Linked DNA regions of Drosophila melanogaster. The protein of the gene in region 1 interacts with the protein of each later gene in a pairwise test. Each region holds a gene or a part of one and is shown in the gene's direction. Other genes may lie near its edges.

Region 1 (3,991 bases):
ATGAAATGCCCAACATCCTGAAATGGAAATCTATACTCCCCAGTTATGGTGCCACTTCCATGAGCCGAAGAGGGTGGAATATGCGTGCCGCAAGACTCTGCAGAACTTTGGTCTGCAGTACGTGGATCTCTACCTGATGCACTGGCCCTACTCCTACGTCTACCGCGGCGACAACGAGATGATGCCCACCGATGCCAAGGGGGAGGTGGAACTCAAGTGAGTTTTTAATTTAGTCAATTACTTTTCTAATGCGGGTGTGCTTCGTTTGTATTTGCTTGACTCTTAATGACCAAATTTGTGCTATTACAGCGATATCGATTACCTAGACACCTGGCGCGAAATGGAGAAGCTCGTGGAACTGGGCCTGACCAAGAGCATCGGCGTATCCAATTTCAACTCGGAACAGTTGACTCGCTTGCTGGCCAACTGCAAGATCAAGCCAATCCACAATCAGGTGCGTCAATTGTGGTTATGCCTTGGGTTTCATATTCCTAATAGACCATTTTCCAGATCGAATGTCATCCCGCGTTGAACCAGAAGAAATTGATTGCTCTGTGCAAGAAGAATGACATTGTAGTGACCGCCTACTGTCCCCTGGGCAGACCCAATCCAGCAGAAAAGACGCCCAACTACATCTATGATGCCAAGGTGCAGGCAATTGGAGACAAGTACAAGAAGTCCACCGCCCAAGTGGTGCTCCGATATCTGGTAGGGATTACGAACTAGGTTTAATGAGAACAAAAACTCTTTATTAACATAATGTTTATCGAAATAGATTGAGATTGGAACCATCCCATTGCCAAAGTCCTCAAATCCCAAGCGCATCGAGGAGAACTTCCAGATCTTCGACTTCCAGCTGGATGCTGAGGATCATGCCATTCTGGATTCCTACAACACCGGAGAACGTCTGATTCCCATGACCCACGCCATCAAAAGCAAGAACTATCCATTTAACATCGAGTTTTGAGCTGGAAAGCAGGAGCAATGTTTGATATTAATTAAAGTGGTTGTTAAATCTGATATTTTGTGTACATATACATATGTTTTTTAAAAATAAACACCAATAATAATTATTTTTGAGATCTTTTTTCATGTTGAAATATTTATGTTTATTTTGGAGATTTTTATATAACAAGCACACTTATTTTTTTTTTTTTACATAATATCGCATTAGTTTTACTTTTAAGCATTTTGATAGTACGTAATTCTTCTATTTTAGTCTTATCACTTGAACTGTTTCTTATTTGCAGTCAAGGGTGTGGCAAATATTTTAAAGGGGCATAAAATATAATAAACATTTGAAGTCATCTATGAAAACAATACGAATTCATTTTGTGATTATATACATATAATCTTAATTAAACAATACCCTTTTTTGGACACCACTGCTGAACATTTAATGATTTGAGAGAGAGCTTTTGCTCGATCATTTAGTTTTTAGTGTGGGCTTGGCATGGAAAATTCCACTTAATCAAAATCATTTGGTCTAGTACAATTTCGCCAACACTTGTCTGAATTCAATTATTCACAACTGCAAGGCAGATTGCAAAAATGAAAAGCTATAAAAGGGAAGAGAATATAAACAAACCCACATGTAATAGGTAAATAAACAAAACTAGCGATAAAGTTAACCGAATCAGCTTTGCGCGCCACTCAACTATCAAGCTATCGATAAGTGTTTTTCAAAAGTGTTCCCACATATTTTTAAATGGGATTTTACACATGATTTGGTTTGGATCATTTATAAAAAATATGTGTTTAATTTATCCTTATTAAAACATTAAAATAATGCATTTAATATATTGGTTAGCACACTTAGAACCTACGCTCCTTGCGTCTCTATAAACTATTTCCAAGTTTCTCTGCCAGCTTGGCCGTGTTTTATCTGCAAATGCAAAAGGTCTTTTGAAGGTTCTATGGGCCCATTCGAAAACCTTATAACAGAGGTGAAGCGAGCAACCCAAGCATTCAGTGTTCAACTTTGTAACCGCGAAGATGACCGGGAAAGTGGAGTACTACTTCAAGCACAACGACGGAACCCATATCCAGGGAATCGGACTGGGCACCTTCGCGGTATGACATTGACTGGTTGATCATAGCATATCCGATACGGATCAGGAATGTCGCCTATCAGTAGCCGGGTTAACGTCATTTGAAGAACCGCTAACGTTATTGATGACTTGTGATTTCAGTCGACGGAAGGCGATTGCGAACGGGCAGTTCTCCACGCGATTGATGTGGGCTACCGGCACATAGACACCGCCTACTTCTACGGAAATGAGGCCGAAGTGGGTGCGGCGGTTCGGAAGAAGATTGCCGAAGGCGTCATCAAGCGGGAGGACATATTCATCACCACCAAGGTCAGTTGGCAAGTTCTTATAGCAGGCATATCATAAACTAATCCTTAAGTGGCCACATATTTCCGCAGCTCTGGTGCAATTTCCATGAACCGGAAAGGGTGGAGTATGCCTGCCGAAAGACCTTGAAGAATATTGGCCTGGATTATGTTGACCTCTATCTGATTCACTGGCCTTTCTCCTATAAATATCGCGGTGATAACGAACTGATTCCCAAAGATGCCAATGGAGAGGTGGAACTTGTGTGAGTAAAATGAATAATATATGAAATATTTCGAATCGATTGGCACTTACAAGTGATTGTGAAATGCGCCTTCTATTATCAGTAATCTTACTATGCCGTTTACTTGCTTCAAACTACAGAGACATTGATTACCTGGACACTTGGGGCGCCATGGAGAAGTTGGTTGACCTGGGCCTGACCAAGAGCATCGGAGTGTCCAATTTCAACGAGGAGCAACTGACGCGCCTGTTGGCCAACTGCAAGATCAAGCCAATCCACAATCAAGTAACTTAGTCACAGGATGTTCCCTCCAGTTTCTCAACTCATATTGTTCTTTCTGCAGATTGAGGTACACCCCGCGTTGGATCAGAAGAAACTGATTGCCCTGTGCAAGAAGAATGGAATCCTGGTGACCGCCTTCAGTCCACTGGGCAGGCACAATGCCGAGTTGAGGACGCCCACCTTTATGTACGATGGCAAGGTTCAGGCCATCGCAGACAAGTACAATAAGTCCATTGCCCAAGTGGTGATCCGATATGTGGTAAGGATTTTCGATTTAGGCCTTATGTTGAACCGGATTTCTCATGATGAATTCTAATTTCAGATTGAGCTGGGAACCATCCCGCTGCCCAAGTCCTCCAATCCCAAGCGCATTGAGGAGAACTTCAATGTCTTCGATTTCAAGCTGGATGCTGAAGATCATGCCATCTTGGACTCGTATCACAATGGAGAACGTGTTGCCCATGCCCGACAAGCCATCAAGAGTAAATACTATCCCTTCAACGTGTATAGTGCTTGTTTTTGATACAACAAATATATTTAAGTTATTATGATTAATAAATAAATAGTAACCCTTGTAAGGGAATGCCCAAAAGCAAGAAGATTTCTAACGTCATTTACAATCGGTAAGTATTTTTCGTAAGTGTTTTGTATATGTCTTTTTTGGCCTTATCATCACAAGTACTTCCCATTGATATTCACATGGATTGGTTAATAAATCAAACAGCGCGGCACTTTTTTGTTCCAGTCATTCAGTTTTTTCTTAGAGAATGTATATATTTCTTAATGCAAAAATTTAAAAACTGATATACTTTTACAACAAAAGTGAAAACTTTTATTTTTGATTGTATTTAAATCGAAGTTGTACCCGTATCATAATGCACAATAGAACAGATAATAGAAAATAGGGTAGCGGATCCATTATGAAAGTCAAGTTCTCGATAAGAAAAATATAAGAAGTCGATTGTTTTACCCAGCTAGCTGTGAAAATAGGAAATAATATGTTTGTATTAAAATCTACCAATGTAAATAACATTAAAAGCTTTTTCTCTGCTGCATTTAAAATAAAATTGAAATGATCAATGTCATGAATAGAAAAATGTTACAGCGAATATTTTAAATTTCAATCTCG
Region 2 (3,481 bases), on another chromosome or scaffold:
AATTCTAAATTTAAAATAGATCTAACGCAGACACATTGACATTCGAAAATTGGGATTGAAAACTCAAGATGCCGACTACACCACAGGATCTTGCCCTTGCCCACTCTCTTGCTCAAAGACCTCCGACCGATAGCAGTGAGGCCAAGGAGCAGGAGGCCGGCGAATCGGACAACCTGCCCAACCTGTGCACTTTGTCGCTGGACGAACTGAAACAGCTGGACAGGGATCCCGAGTTCTTCGAGGACTTCATCGAGGAGATGTCCGTGGTGCAGTACCTGAACGAGGAGCTCGATTCAATGATGGACCAGGTGGAGATTATATCAAGTGAGTAGGTCACGGCCCGAGGCTGGCAAATCTACCTAACCCTTCTGTATTCCAATCCAGGAGAGAACGAGTGCAAGGGCATTCATCTGGTAGAGCTGAAGCGCCGACTCAGCGACGATTTTACAGCTTTAAAAAACCTAGGCGAGAAATGCGACCGGCTGAACAAGAAGTACTTCAAGAAGTCGGATGAATACGCGCCTCAGCATATCAGGGTGAGTTCCCTTAAAAAGCCAATGGCGTGGGAGTTACCATTCCCATCCGTAACTTGCATTCCATTTCCCCTGAAGGAGCTTCTTCAGATTGCAGCTTCCAATGCCGATGGCGACTGCGATCGTCACGTGGAGCACTTCCTGAACGGAAAGACCGACGTGCAGACTTTCCTCAACACGTACCAGTGGTCGAAGAAGATCAGTACCGAGCGCAAGGCCAAAGAGGAGCGCCTGGGCACCCAGCTCAGTGCTCTGGAGCGGGCCGGTATCTAGGATTGCCGTGACACTCCCTGGCCGTGCCATCCAGAGCACGGTCCTCCCACTCCTCGCACTCCTCCCACACCGCCACGATCCGCGTCGCAATAGTAGAGAATATCAATGTTAGTAAATAGAGAAGTTAAGCCAGAGATGGGGCGACATAATCATGGCACACACGGCCACGCATTCCCAGAACAGAAAGCAAAACCTTGTTGAAGTAATAAGAAGGTGCACTAGTTGTTCGTTTCCCAAGATCGTTTACTTGGGAAGAGGGTCTTGTTATTCTATCCGTACCCCGAAACGAAGCACTATGTGCAACAGAACGCAGTCCGGAATCGCATGTATTACCTATTTACTTTTTTTCCTTTTGGTTAATCGTGAGCCCCATCCATATATTCTCTCCATATATACATATATATTAAAAAAAAACTATGCTTTAAATGATGCCGTCTCTTTCTATTTAAGGGAAAGGTTTTTCAAAACAATGGTTTTTGGAATGATTTTTGTTTTGATTTGAATAAAATCGAACCGCAAAGGATAACACAACCTTATTAGTTTGAAATAATTTTATTATATTGAAGAATAATAATGCTTAATAACAGATATATAAAATTTCTTTTTTCAACAGTGGCTTGTGCTAGTATCTTAATTTAGTTTGCATAAGCTAAAAGCAATTAAACAAACATAACTACGTTTTCTCCATTATTATTCATATGTACATATATTACTAAGCATTCCAATTGTTAAAATCGAAAACAATCGAAAGTTTCGTTCTACATCATTCGTTCGAAATATGAATGATCCGGTTATCATGGTATTTTTTTGGTATTTTAGCTATATAGTTCGCCGATTTATCGGCCGTACCTCTTCCCCGATCTCGGCCAGAAGCGGACTGGGCCAGTTGGCTGATAGTGCTCGTTCGGCTGCCCCGCTGTCGCCCTTCCCCTCCTCCACCGAGGTCAAGTAATCTCGAGTGATAAGCGGCAGTGAACTCTCGTCTCTGCTTCTCCATTCCACAAGAAACTATAAATAACAGACTACCCACAAGAGACTAGTGCAATTGCAGCAATGGCCCAAACGGAAGTGCTGGTGTTCGGCTCGGCCATCATTGACTTTATAAGGTAGGTGGGCAGAGAAGGCTCGATCCCAAGGAGAATCTTACAAATACAACACCTTTTCCAGCTACACGACCCGTCTACCGAAAGCCGGAGAAACGCTCCATGGGCATCGCTTTCAGATTGGCTACGGCGGCAAGGGCGCCAATCAGTGTGTGGCTGCCGCGCGCCAGGGATCCCGAACAGCTCTGGTGGCCAAACTGGGGGCAGACACATTCGGCAGCGACTACCTGAGACATCTGCGCGAGGAGCGCGTCAATGTAAACCACGTCGAGCAGCTGGCGGAGGAAACGACGGGCGTGGCCCAGATAGCCGTGTCAGATGGCGGCGAGAACAACATCATCATTGTGGTGGGCGCCAACAATCGACTGAGCTCGTGTGACGTTTCCTCGGCGAAGGCGCTCTTCCAGGAAGCCAAAGTTCTGGTGTGCCAGCTGGAGACGCCCGTTGAGGCCACCCTGACCGCTCTGAGAGCCTTCCGGGGCGTGTCCATCGTCAATGCGGCTCCGGCCATGGCCGACACACCCCCCGAACTTCTTCAGTTGGCCAGCATCTTCTGTGTGAACGAAAGCGAGGCGGCACTGATGACTCAGATGCCCGACATTGGCAACATAGAGTAAGTGCGAGTAAGCGTAAACCAGTCGTACTGCCAACTAAATCGGGTCCCACTTCTGCCAGGCACGCCGAAGATGCGGTTGGAAAGCTGATAGCGGCAGGTGCCAACACGGTGATCATAACTCTGGGCAAACTAGGAGCCGTTTTCGGTTCCGCCGACTCCAAGGGCGTGTGCCAGCATGTGGCTGCGCCGAGTGTGCCGCCCGAAAAAGTGGTGGACACGACGGGGGCTGGAGACGCCTTCATTGGGGCCTTGGCCCACAACTTGGCCCGTCATCCAACGAGGAAACTGGAGGAGCACATAGCCGCCGCCTGTGCCGTGGCCTCGCAATCCGTTCAGCTACCCGGGACGCAGTCGAGCTTCCCACACGCTTAGAGGGAAATCCCCAAAAGAATGCAACGCAACAATAAATCTCTATCCTGACGTACAATGATCTATTTAATGGTAATCGTAAGTATAAAAAGATTATGGTCCACATGGGTGTGCTTCGGCTGGCAATTCAGCGTCCAGAATCCAGTGGGTTGCGGACTACAGATGGAGGCGTGGCAGCTTCACTTCTTTCCCGACTTCTTGATGCCGCCTCCTACGAGAGGACCCTTCTTTGAGGCGTTCGCCTTGGCCGCCTCCAGAGCCTTCTGCTGCTCCTTCTGCTTTTGCTTGAAGGCCATGTCGTCCTCGTCCAGGTCTTTGGAGTCCTTCTTCGGCGCCTTCAGAGGCTTCTTCTTACCGCCCTCGCGTCCAGACATACTTGCTCGCTTATACTGCGTGGGAGGAAAAATCTATGAAAATCGGGTTGGATTCCACAACAAAAAGTCACGCACCTTTTTCACACGTTTTTCCGATTTCCGCTGCACGATAACCACGAGAACAATCGATAGCTTCGCGCTTTCGATTGGCTGTGCGTGTTATCGGAACTGGACATATATTTCAATTAATTGATGAAATTATAAGAACAAATT
Region 3 (4,298 bases), on another chromosome or scaffold:
CGCTGCTTTTGGCCATTTCAAGTCGGTGACATTGCAACAGATACTTCTGCTCTGCCTCAAGTTTGGCTTCCTGCCACCCAAGCGCCATGCCAGCCACGCCCACCCGCATCGCACGTAATGCCCAAATGGAGCCAAGCCCGCCCACTTTTAAGTCACAGCTCTGGACAAAGTTTTGCGTGCTGTGAAAAAATAATAATAAAGGACGAGCAGGACTACAAAACAGTTCGCAGGAAAGAAAAGCCAAGTCACAGGACAGACGCATCTCGGTGGGCAGGAAAACTTCCGTTTCGAGTTGTGGCCTGGAAATTGGTAACTGCAATCAAGTGGAAGGATCCAATGGAATACGGTCGTGGGTTCCGAAAGCCGGCCAATAAATATGAAATTAATCTGGCTGTGTATTAGCAGGAAATAGCATGCAAACGTGAATTGAAAAAGGATGAAAAATGTGTCGTTACTTTCAGGGCAATTTGTACATTTTAGGGCTCATTAGAATGTGCTTTATATTTCTTTTCTTTTTTTTGTATATTGGTAAATATTTTGCTGACTTTTAAAGAGGTAGCACAAGTGGCGTATCCCCGAAGTATTTAAAATTATTGTTGCTGTTGACCATGCAGCTGCAACATTTCAAATTTCGTATCCTGCGTGCGGACATATCGCCCCGGTTTTCCCCATTTTCCCAGACAGATTTTCATAGCTGGCACAGTTTGAGCCTTGACTATTTTGCATTTATGCAAAAGGCAGCAGACAAAAAGAAGATTCTAATAGAGCACAGCGTGCTGTGGACCAAGAAGAAGCAGAATAGCCGAAGGAGAAGGCGCCATCTGCCACGCCCACTGGGCAAAAAGTTGCAACTTTGGTGCTGCGTGCGGTTTTTGCTGTGACATTTTCGTAGATTTCGCTGTGAGTCTGCGGGGGAAAAGTGCAGAGGATGGAAAGTGGAAAATAGTCCAGAATTGTACGTGAAATAAATTTTAGCGAATTTATTTTGACTGAACGCAGTAATATTCGTTCTTGGCTAAAAGCGAAAGTCGAATTAATAGTAAAGCTGACTCTTAAACCTAAAAACCGCAGCATTATCTTTAAATGGTAAGTGCATTGATTCGTCTGGGTTTTGCATCCAATCCGGGTTTTCTCCAGAAGTCTCCTGCGGTAAGATGCCGTCTTGGGAAAACCAGAATAAGAGATTCCCAGGCAGCTATCACTAATTCATGATCACCAATTAATCTATTCGGAACAGTTATCAAACCTGATTTAGCAGCCAATATATTTAGTCTATAATTCAATAAATCAATATGCATTTAAATATGATTTTTCTTTTTTCCTTTGTTTTTCATTAAACCTCATATGTTTGCACAGCAAGAGAAATAGAATTTATCAAAGAAACTATGCAAAAATATTTATTTGCTATGTATATGCAATTACAATTAAATAATTAAAGCAAGTGTATAAACAAATCAATAGCACCAATGCAAAGACATTCTTCTTTTCATCTCGATCTTGAAATATTTATATTTAGGTATTTTCATTAAACCGTCTTATCAGCTACTGTACTGCACTTTTTTTTTTTTAATAAACACAAAGAGAATCGGTCATTTTGCAATTACAAATACGAATGCTCACACTTCCCTTCGTTACGACCTGATAACTGAAAAAAGAAAAATGTGCAACGAAAAGCAGTGGATTTTTGCGGTGCGAATTAAATGGCACACGTATGAGAATATAATTACGAGTATATTATTAAATTTATTGAGCGACTGGAAGCGCGATTGGAAGGCGGCAACGGGTTTTCCCGCCCAGCCGCAATCAATGAGAATCGATCCGATCGTAGCTAATCAACGCAGCGTCGGCGATGGAAAAGGCAAATCAAAAGCCAATCTCTGAGATTCAAAAAGCTTCCGAGGGTCGCGGCTTGAGGTTGCCGATCGCCAGTAGATCAGTAGTTGATTGCCAGCCACCGGGGACGCAGCTTTGCTAGCGACTCGAGAATCAATCGGAGCGGAAAATAGGAAAATAGAAAATTGATAGGAATTAGAAAATAGGAAAACCTCGCAAAATGCTCCTGCTGATACCGCTTTTCCTGACCCTTTTGGGGGCTGAGGCCCAGCAATTTGGCAGTGAGTTTTACTCAAGACCACCGCTCCTTCGAGATTTCCTAACCCATTTTCAATCCTTTAGAAGCTATCATGCATTTTGGCAACTGCAACTCGGTGGAATTCGGTAGGGGCACCTGTATCGAGAAGAAGGACTGCGACTTTTATGCCGTAGATAAACTTATGGAATTGGCCAGCAAACAACAGTGCTTCTCCCGCCAGCGACCCGATCTGGTAAGTGGTATTATATACTATATATATGTATATATTCGCCCGATGTTCAGCAAACACGTTTCCCACCATCAACCAGTTTTCCACGCTCCGTGGAGATCTTCTTCACCTGAATAATGCTATTTATTAGCATTAACAGCTATTTTAACAGTTTATTTACGTCTTACTTTGCGATTTGTACATAATTGATTGTAATACATTTTTTGATTTAAACGGAAATTAGAGAGCTATTAAAAAAACTAAAACGGCTGATATACCCATAGTAAAACAACCCAATCTTCACTTGAGCTTATAGTTTTTATTTTCCAAAAATGTTTATATATACAATGCACCATAATATATATATATCTTATTTATTTCCCATTAGGTTTGCTGCCCCCGCGAGACGAATATTATACCGCCATTGGCACCCAGGATCAGTAATGGGACCACTAATGCCACGAGCAGCACCACAACGCTGAAACTGCTGCCTCGCACCACGCCACGCCCACCCAGCGGTATCGACCAACTGCCCGAGCATCCGTACTGCGGCTCCGCCTTTTCGTTTCGCTTGGTCGGTGGTCATAATACCGGACTCTTCGAGTTCCCGTGGACCACTCTGCTGGAGTACGAGACAGTGAGCGGTGGCAAGGACTATGCGTGCGGCGCATCCTTTATCGCCCAGAGATGGCTCTTAACGGCCGCCCACTGCATTCACACAATGGGCAGGAATCTCACCGCAGCCATTTTGGGTGAATGGAATCGGGACACCGATCCGGATTGCGAGAATGATTTGAATGGCGTACGCGAATGTGCTCCGCCGCATATCCGGGTGACCATCGATCGAATATTGCCGCATGCGCAGTACTCGGAATTGAACTATAGAAACGATATAGCCCTGCTGCGTTTATCACGTCCGGTGAACTGGCTGCAGATGCAGAATCTGGAGCCCGTCTGTTTGCCACCGCAGAGGGGCAGGTATGCCAATCAGCTGGCCGGCTCAGCCGCCGATGTTTCCGGCTGGGGCAAGACCGAGTCCAGCGGCAGCAGCAAGATCAAGCAAAAGGCGATGCTGCACATCCAGCCGCAGGATCAGTGCCAGGAGGCGTTTTACAAGGACACCAAGATTACGCTCGCCGATAGTCAGATGTGTGCCGGCGGCGAGATTGGCGTTGATTCCTGCAGTGGCGACTCCGGCGGACCACTGACCGTAGAGGCAAACACGGCGAGCGGCAATCGATATGTCTATCTGGCCGGCGTGGTCTCCATTGGACGGAAACACTGTGGCACAGCGTTGTTTTCCGGAATTTACACCCGGGTCAGCAGCTACATGGACTGGATAGAAAGCACCATTCGAGCCAATCGCATTTAAGCGACTCTCGACTTTCGTTTCCGTTTTCGGCTATTTTTGGGCACCCATAACGCAAAGTCAAGCTCATTGTGACCTTCAATGACATTAAAAGCAATTTTTTTGAAATACATACAATATTTATTATATGTTTTTTTTTTTACATGAAGCGCAGTGACTTTTTTTATTTGTGTTTTCAACTAACGAAAAAAATCCCATATTGTTCAAAGCATTCCAAATCCCTTGTACAAATGTGCAGACAGTGTATTTGACGTTCGGGAGCATATGACTTATTGGCAACGGTGCGTATGAAATGCTTAAGCAGCTACCACAGGGGTTTCCCCCAGGAAGGTTTTCCCTCTCTTTTTATTTGTCTCGTTTTGCGGATCGTCATATCACTGACGTCACTGATTTCCGGCGTGCAATTTACTAAACATGTCAACCTATCGCCTACAATCTCGATTTGGGTCTAGATTAAACTGTTTGCCCATGACACGGAAACGCTTAAAATGATGATGATGTTGGTGATGTACGCCCAGTAACTGCAGATTGCTCTGATTTTTAGCGAAAATATACTGGTGACATATGAAGTGTACTTTGAAAGCGGTCGGATTTTCTTTTACAACCAACTATTACTAATTTAAACTGAA
Region 4 (7,686 bases), on another chromosome or scaffold:
GAGAGGATCCTTGTCCGGCTAATGAAAATCGGCAGTTCAGGATCGATGTATAAGGAATCCAGTCCAATTACATCTGGAGCTGCCAGTGGCGGCCAATTGTCGGGGGCCATTGAGCCAAGTCAATATTCGAAATTGTTTCAAATTGCTGCTCATTGTTTGTGGCACAAGGAGATCGGGAGTCGAACGCCTTTCGCTTTGAATGCTAAGTAACCAAATATTGAATTATAAGTGTAACTTGTTAATTAAGTTGTATATATTCCTGTATTATTGTTGTCAAAAAGCGCAACGCGTTGAACGTTTACTTGTGCCTAGCTGGATAAGCAATTTTTGTTATTCGTAGATATGGATTAAAAAATAAAAGGTTAAATAATATGGAAAGTTCAAAAAATCACCGATATCTTTTTTAAAATTGGGAAGATACTTAAATAATCAAACAGCACATTAAAAACCAATACACATGCGATACAATGAAACCAGTGATTCGGTTATTATTTTTATCACGATTTCCCACTGCTCTTAATTAAGGAAATATTTGTGTACCATATTTTAGGAATAACCGTCACTTCCTTCCACTTTCCGCTAGCGAAATCACACGCTTCACAGACGTCAAAACAAATGAATCTATCATGGAAAGGTCGCACGCCATCGGCGTTGTCATGAGAAGCAGACGTGGGGCAGCTGTTACGGATTCGCTGCCCCAAGTCCCCGCGATCTCCGATCTACAGCCACCCAACGATCCATACAATTCATGCAAACCACCTCATCACTCTTAATATTGTTAATGATACGACACGCAATACTCAAAACAGCGAAACAACTTGTTTCTGAGTGGCACTTGCGCCCGCCTGTGACATCACTAAGAAAATGTATAAAAAAATACAAATGGCGCATATAAATAAATATAGGCAAACAATAATTGCCTGCTGGGTCCCCCGATCAGATCCCCATGCTCATCATTCCACTTGCAGCTCATCAATCGCGCCCAGAAGTGCTCGGTGTTTATTTATAATTCTTATTTTTTTGTGTTGCCTCATCAGGGAATTCTTTTGATACAGTCTGTCCAGCAAAATCAATTGTATAAACAATAAAATGTGAACAATTTAACTGGTGAAATTCACAAATACAAATGACAATTATCGTTTTCCCGATGATCTGTATGAGATCATCATTATTTGCACTCTTAAACGTTTAATGGGTAGGAAAATAATTTACGTTCTGGCGTATAACTATTCTGATTTCTGATTTATAACTCCATTCGCAGAGTGCCGAAAACCGATAAAACGAAACAATAGGTAACCAGTTTCAATGCACCCGAAAGTTCAAGGCGATATCGAAATCGCTGATTATAGGTGGTAGTGGCCATAATAACAGTTATTGCCCGGCCATTAGCCAAAGCCTTCGTGGCCTAATTGATATGCAAATATGAAATCATAAACGATCCAACGGAATTATTGCCACGATGAAAGCAAAAGTGTTACGGACTTTGTTGAATTCTAATCCAATGCCAGACATCGGAATGGTTTCAAATTGTTTTTCATGTTTACAAACAAAATGCTCGACGCGTGGTCAGATTTAGCTTTTTTTGTATTGAAGAGCATTCGGCACAAAAAAAAGAGAACGATCGTCATGAGCTTTTGAAGCTGAAGCTTTTTCAGTCTTTGCAAATACTCAGCGGAATTTTAGCTCAGTCGAGTTTCGCGTTTGATTCGCTACGGATCGGTATCGTAATACTGTTACTGGCCATATATAGTACACGTTTTGCCATCGATATGCGTCGAATTCGGCGGTGGTTTAGTCTATAGTGAGCTGTGAAAAAAACCAAATCAACCAATATGGAGTTGTCATTGTTCACATTAAATTTGTTCGATGTGGTCTCGGTGGTGCTCACATTTCTTGTGATATTTCTAGTGCAAATTCTTAACGTTTACTTGCATATACTCGACGATAATGCCGATAATGGCAAATCGATCGATGTGGTGGACAAGGCACCAGCGAAAGAATGCCCGTTACTTGAGTCCCAGTCACCCAGTTCACCAATCGCCACCACTCTACCGAAATCCCAGGCATCGAGCAACGGCAAGTTGGAGAAGCAAATAAGTCTGCTGGACAGCGATAGGTAGGTATAAAACCCTCTGTTTACCTAACCTAATGTTTTGTTTGAACGTGTCCCACCATCTGACAGCTGTTTGCTGTTTTTTCATCGAATTTATTGTCCATTATTGAATGTACGACCTTTGGCTTGTTTTACACCACTTACTGTGCGTATACGTGATAAGATAACGTATACGCCCCGGTTATTTTTAAGCCTTTCCACGGTAATTGCTGTCGGGAGTGGTTGAGTTCATGACATGCATGATAAATATGTTAAAAGTTAATTCCCGCGACTGATTTCAGATAAGCAAAGTGTTTTTATTATTAAGGTTTTGGTTTTAGGCGCAGGAAGGAAGTTGTTAAAAGAAATTTCAGGCAATGAGAAATTTTACAGAGGAAGTGGAACACTAAAGCGATAAATGGTGTATTTTCTCTAATCTTGTTCTATAAACGATCTGCATTTTTTTGCAATAAAGTTGATAACTAATATCACTATGCATACATTATATAAAGTATTACTAGAAAATAACAACGGTCGCGGCTTAGTATCTGGAAGTTTTAAAGTTCTAGTACGTGTTTAGGAATATAATTAATGTTGTGCACATTTATCTTTTATATACCCACATCATTTTCAAGTGTTCCTCATTCACGGCTTGCTGTTCTTGTGTTTTCGTTACTGTTCTGTTTCCAGCGGCATCTCATTGAGTTCCATCAACACCTGTTCAACAACCGCAGCGAACTCATCCCCAACATACCGAGCACCCAATGGCTTCCACTCCTTCCCATCGCACACGCTCAGTTTCGAGACTCTGGGCGATGAGTAGTAAGTACAGCTGAGAGTGTCATAGCCATCCTAAATATCCGTTTATTGGTAATTGATTTGGCAACTAAGTAATGACCATCCACTTTGTCCAGCCACGAGGATGAGGACACATTGTCCTTGGAAAATCTGTTTCCCTGCGATCAAACCGAGATCTATGCCTCCAAGAAGATCAGCTTCATAATCGACGAGCTCATCCAGACGGAGGTGAACTATGTGAACAATCTGAAGAAGGGTATGCTAAACTATGGACAGCTGAAGGATGTCGAGGATTTGCCAGAAGCCCTGAGTGGCGAAACGAAACAAAAGATGCTGCTGGGAAACATTAAGGAAATACTGGAGCTGCATGAGAAGGAGATACTGCCGCTCATGTTGCGCAATCAGCGGGATCTCAAAGGTCTATTCGATGAGTTTGCTGCTCACTTCGAGGTGAGCTAAGGGGCATGTTTGTGGAGGGGATGCTGAGTGGGCTGGGTCCATTAGCCAAAGTCGTGTCGTTGAGCCAAGTAGCCGTTAGACAGGTTCCGACATCTCATCTATCAAAATTCTTTCGTCTTCCGTAGGCACTTGGGGTGCCTAATTTCAACCTCAAATATTTACACATAATGAAGTGGATAAGTCTTTTTTTAAACATTTATTTTTTGCCCGGACTTGACACCTGCATTTCGTGTCTCGTTTCTTTATTATCTTTTGCTTTGTTAAGCTTTTTTATTATTTTTATTATTTGAACGCCGAGTGATTCGTGTCTTAATGCAAATGAAGTCAATGTGGGTTATGCAAACTGTGCCAGAATCTCAATTGATGATTATAATTTAATTTTTAGTAATATATTTCTACTCACACCTCGCGACAACTGTGTCGCCAAATTCATTCATATGCCAGTGCGTGTGTCGTGCAAAATTAATAAACGATTTTCACAGAAAAAACAAATGTATATCCCAGATCACTTGCAGAATGACGAATGGGTTGGCTTAGTAAAGTCCCCTGATAAGATTGAAGTAATCAGCAGAACGCCGTAATAAAATACGAAAATACACAACACACAGCCACAAAAGCTCACACTCAGTTACGAAAATCAGTTGAAAATTGTTAGGGCAAACAGACTCTATATTGTATTTTTTTTTTCTGGGCTGGGGTTCCATTTGCCGGCAGCTGACGTCATCGGTTCTCGGTGAGGAGAGTCGACAATTGCTGTCCGGGGCTTGGCGTTTCAGCATATTCAGATATACATAGCTATAGAAATCCCCAAATCATCTCGTTAAAAGTACTCATTTCGGAATGATTTTTCGGGCCTCTAGAGAGCGGCCATGTGGCCATGTTGAGCTGAGTGTTGACAACGCAAATGATCAATTTAAATTGAAATGGAAATTGTCTGAGGCATTGTGGAATTCTTGTTCGGTCGCAATTCTCTTATGTCATACCCGAGTTCCCAGAAAACCCGAATATAAATTAAGCAAGGAGTTACAGTAAGCTTATTAACTGATCCAAAAGCAGGTAACATTCTTGTTGAGCACCCCGAGGATTTGGCATCTTAAGAACTTAATGTTCGACAGACATGCTAAGCCCCTGGGATGTGATTTATGCTCTTGTTTGCACTTTTTTTGTTCCTTTTACCCGCAACCACTTTGCATTCATTTTTTTTTTAATTTGGCCAAACCAAAACAAACATATCTGACTCACAGGACCAGAGCCAAGCGAATATTTTGCTAAATATATCATAAAAACTGCTCAAGATTTGTTTATACATATTTTCTAAAAATTTTACGTTTCCCTGCTCAAATTTGGCAGCATGCTGCATAAACAAAAGAGGCGAAGCCAAAACGTTGATAAATATAAACTTGTGCTATGAATTTCCTCTTGACTCGTCGTCATTTGCAAATTAATGAGGCTTTTCACAAGCAATTGCCAAATCGATTAGTTCTAGCCTGGAGAGGCCTAGAATTGATGAATGCTAGATCTTGGCCAGCCGGAGATTCGGAATCAGTTTTTGGTCTCGAAAGACAGAAGTTTCCATAAATAGAGTCGCCTTCATTTATTAATCGGCTTTAAATTGCCAAAAACATCAAGTGACAAGCGTGTCGATCAGACTTCTCACAATCAAATCGAATCAGCCACCAGCGGAAAATCAATTAAAAGTTTTACCACATTCGGATGGATGCTTTTGAGTGGTTGAAGGAAAGGGGTTGGGGAATTCTGAGATTGATGCAATCGATTTGGCGATCCAAATTGTTTTAGATGTTTGCTGCGAAATAAACAAAAGAAGATTATATTGATGGGGAAGCCGCTGTAGCTATAAATTCTATTTATACAGCTGCGTGTTAAGAGAACAATAAAAATACTTCAAAAACTAATTTCTTGCTTGCAAACTCATTGAACAACATGAAGAAAACAGATTTATGCTATTATTGTTAGGTATTATATCTGTTACATGGTTAACTATTTGATGAGCGCCAAAAACCATTAACCATAGCTGACATCTAGTTTTGATTTATATTGTACAACAGCGTGTGAGATATATATAAAAAGCAACCACATTTTTCTTTAGACAGTCCGAATTACTACATTAGGAGGAATGCACTGTAGCTAGCAATTTCATGCTAATAAAATTCACGCCCACCAAAGACAAATTTGCAATATGCAAAAATATATATGTGTGTATATATATATATTGTCACCTTTCGCCCGCCAGACGAGGCGGCAATTGTTTAAGGCAGTCATTTGTCCAGCTAAATCGCATTAGACATGCAAAATGGAAAGGGAAATATTATGGATAAGTCCGCAGAGAGATGATTATCATATCATCTAAATGCAGAACTTCGAGCTCTGATTCTGATGCTGCAGTCGGGCGGAGCTAATGAAATTAAAATGGAAAGGAAATCGTTAGACAGACAATTTTCTTTGCAGTTTGCACTAGTTTCGGTTTTTTTTTTTTTGGGAAAATATTTGCATTGGCATTGGCCACAGATAGCGACAGGAATTCCAAATTTTCACTCTGGCTTTGCCAAGGCCTTACCACTTGGCCCGCTCTACAAGTCCGGAGTTACGTGACTTAAATGCTTAAGAAATTATGATTTCGCCAACAGGCAAACTGGCATGTGTGTGTATATAGTACAATATACACATATGTATATATCAAACGATGTGCCAAGTGCGAGAATAAAGCACATGGCCCAGACACAAAGGTTTTCCCAGTTTCGACGAGGTTAAGATGGGTTATGATACGGTTTGCTGTTTATTACCTTACAGAAAAATAGCTTCTATTGCTATGTGAGCTTCACTATGGGGAAGAAGTCTTCTATGCAACTGCGACAGGATAATCGGCTGTGGTTGCAGGTGAGTTACCCAGTCAAGCGCTATCCTTAATCTAAAATGTTAATATTTCAAATACCTTTTTAGACATATCAAACCCAAATAAAAGACAAGCTGGGCATCGACAGCTTCCTAGTTCAGCCCATCCAAAGACTGACCAGATATCCATTGCTCCTGCAGCAGTTCATATCGGTAAGTGACTAGATTTTGCATAGCTTTCCTTTACTAACTAATCTTAACGATTTCAGGAATTCTACAAAAGTGGAATTAGTTGCAAGCCAGTGCTGACTGCAGTTTGCAAACTCGAGACGCGCATGCGACGCGCTCTGGATGTGGTCAATCAGGCCGAGGAGATACCCAACATCGAGGAGCTCAACGAGGTGCGTCATGAGCGTCTATGGGATATGGAATTGGCCACTAATTCTAGTTTTTCATCTTCCCCAGTTGGACGTCCTGCAGCTGGGAAACTTCCGCCGTGCGACGGAATTCGACGCCCAGCACTTTCCCACCCGGAAAAAGTACCGCTCCAAGGTGTTCCTGTTCGATCGCTGTTTGGTGTGCACGGAGGTGCGAAAGAAGCGGCTGGCCTACCGGCAGCACTACAACTGGGAGCACGTGGAGCTGCAGAGGCCACTGGACTCGGTCTCGTCCAATGCCAACAAGATCATTAACCTGCTAGTGAAACAGGAGGAGGGCGGATCTAGTGTCGGCTCCAAGCGGGAGGAGTACTCCTTTATGGCTGCGGAGGCGTCGGTGGTGAAGCAGTGGCTCCAGGCCACCCACAAGATCATCGAGATCGCACGCAATGAGCACGCCAGGCGGAACACCTTTAGCCTGCCCATGGACCTGGTCCTCGGCGTGGTGCTGGCCATCTGGCTGATCTGGCAGTACTTGTAAATAGTTCCCACCTCAATGCAACAACCATGTCCACATGCCCATCTAGATCGTAGATATCTAAGAATAAAGCTAAGTTATTTCGTAGTCCTGTTCTGTGTCGTCCTCGCTGTTTGTCCAAGCGTAAAATAAGCTTGCTGCAGTCGCCTGACAAATATTCATGATAAATTGCCTTTGCAGTGGCCAAGTCCCGTCTTGTCGTTGTCCTTGCTGCAAAATGTAAATAGCTCTTCATCTCCTTTGGCCGGCACACACAAGGCAATCCCAATTCCCGTGCAGTGTGTGTGTGTGTGTGACAGCCACCGAAAAATTTATGACAAATCTTTTTATTTAGAATTTATGATGGCCCAATGCAGGAAGCCACCCAAAAAGAAGCCAAGTCACGGCGTACGGAAATCTAATGAACCGCATCCAAGGATGTGAATATGAACTGCTCAAGATGCTGATGGCTTCTGGGAGTGTGTTAAAAGCTAGTTTGTTTGGCATCAGCATGCAAAAGGTCGAAACAAGATTTAAAATCCGATTTAACATATTCATTTTTAGCCAAAACCTAAAACCGGTTAATGTGTTTA

What was found.
Region 2: the proteins of CG12766 (region 1) and CG13369 interact in a two-hybrid assay, tested with the Drosophila melanogaster proteins (one large-scale study listed by BioGRID).
Region 3: the proteins of CG12766 (region 1) and Ser7 interact in a two-hybrid assay, tested with the Drosophila melanogaster proteins (one large-scale study listed by BioGRID).
Region 4: the proteins of CG12766 (region 1) and CG15611 interact in a two-hybrid assay, tested with the Drosophila melanogaster proteins (one large-scale study listed by BioGRID).

Annotation. Positions count from the first base shown.
Region 1 is NT_037436.4:3,938,089-3,942,079, reverse strand, and holds CG12766 (uncharacterized protein), read left to right. Parts: upstream 1-1,954; 5' UTR 1,955-1,995; coding exon 1,996-2,073; intron 2,074-2,192; coding exon 2,193-2,360; intron 2,361-2,428; coding exon 2,429-2,601; intron 2,602-2,720; coding exon 2,721-2,865; intron 2,866-2,923; coding exon 2,924-3,121; intron 3,122-3,184; coding exon 3,185-3,385; 3' UTR 3,386-3,456; downstream 3,457-3,991. Other genes in the region: CG10863 (uncharacterized protein), read left to right, coding at 44-216, 310-454, 511-708, 776-967.
Region 2 is NC_004354.4:621,823-625,303, forward strand, and holds CG13369 (uncharacterized protein), read left to right. Parts: upstream 1-1,645; 5' UTR 1,646-1,859; coding exon 1,860-1,912; intron 1,913-1,973; coding exon 1,974-2,522; intron 2,523-2,584; coding exon 2,585-2,897; 3' UTR 2,898-2,943; downstream 2,944-3,481. Other genes in the region: Vsp37A (vacuolar protein sorting 37A), read left to right, coding at 69-324, 385-536, 612-806; CG13364 (uncharacterized protein), read right to left, coding at 3,074-3,268.
Region 3 is NC_004354.4:9,863,284-9,867,581, forward strand, and holds Ser7 (Ser7), read left to right. Parts: upstream 1-1,949; 5' UTR 1,950-2,053; coding exon 2,054-2,114; intron 2,115-2,175; coding exon 2,176-2,324; intron 2,325-2,688; coding exon 2,689-3,672; 3' UTR 3,673-3,787; downstream 3,788-4,298.
Region 4 is NT_033778.4:17,107,161-17,114,846, forward strand, and holds CG15611 (uncharacterized protein), read left to right. Parts: upstream 1-1,683; 5' UTR 1,684-1,832; coding exon 1,833-2,116; intron 2,117-2,782; coding exon 2,783-2,914; intron 2,915-3,006; coding exon 3,007-3,340; intron 3,341-6,157; coding exon 6,158-6,244; intron 6,245-6,307; coding exon 6,308-6,412; intron 6,413-6,468; coding exon 6,469-6,600; intron 6,601-6,664; coding exon 6,665-7,117; 3' UTR 7,118-7,200; downstream 7,201-7,686.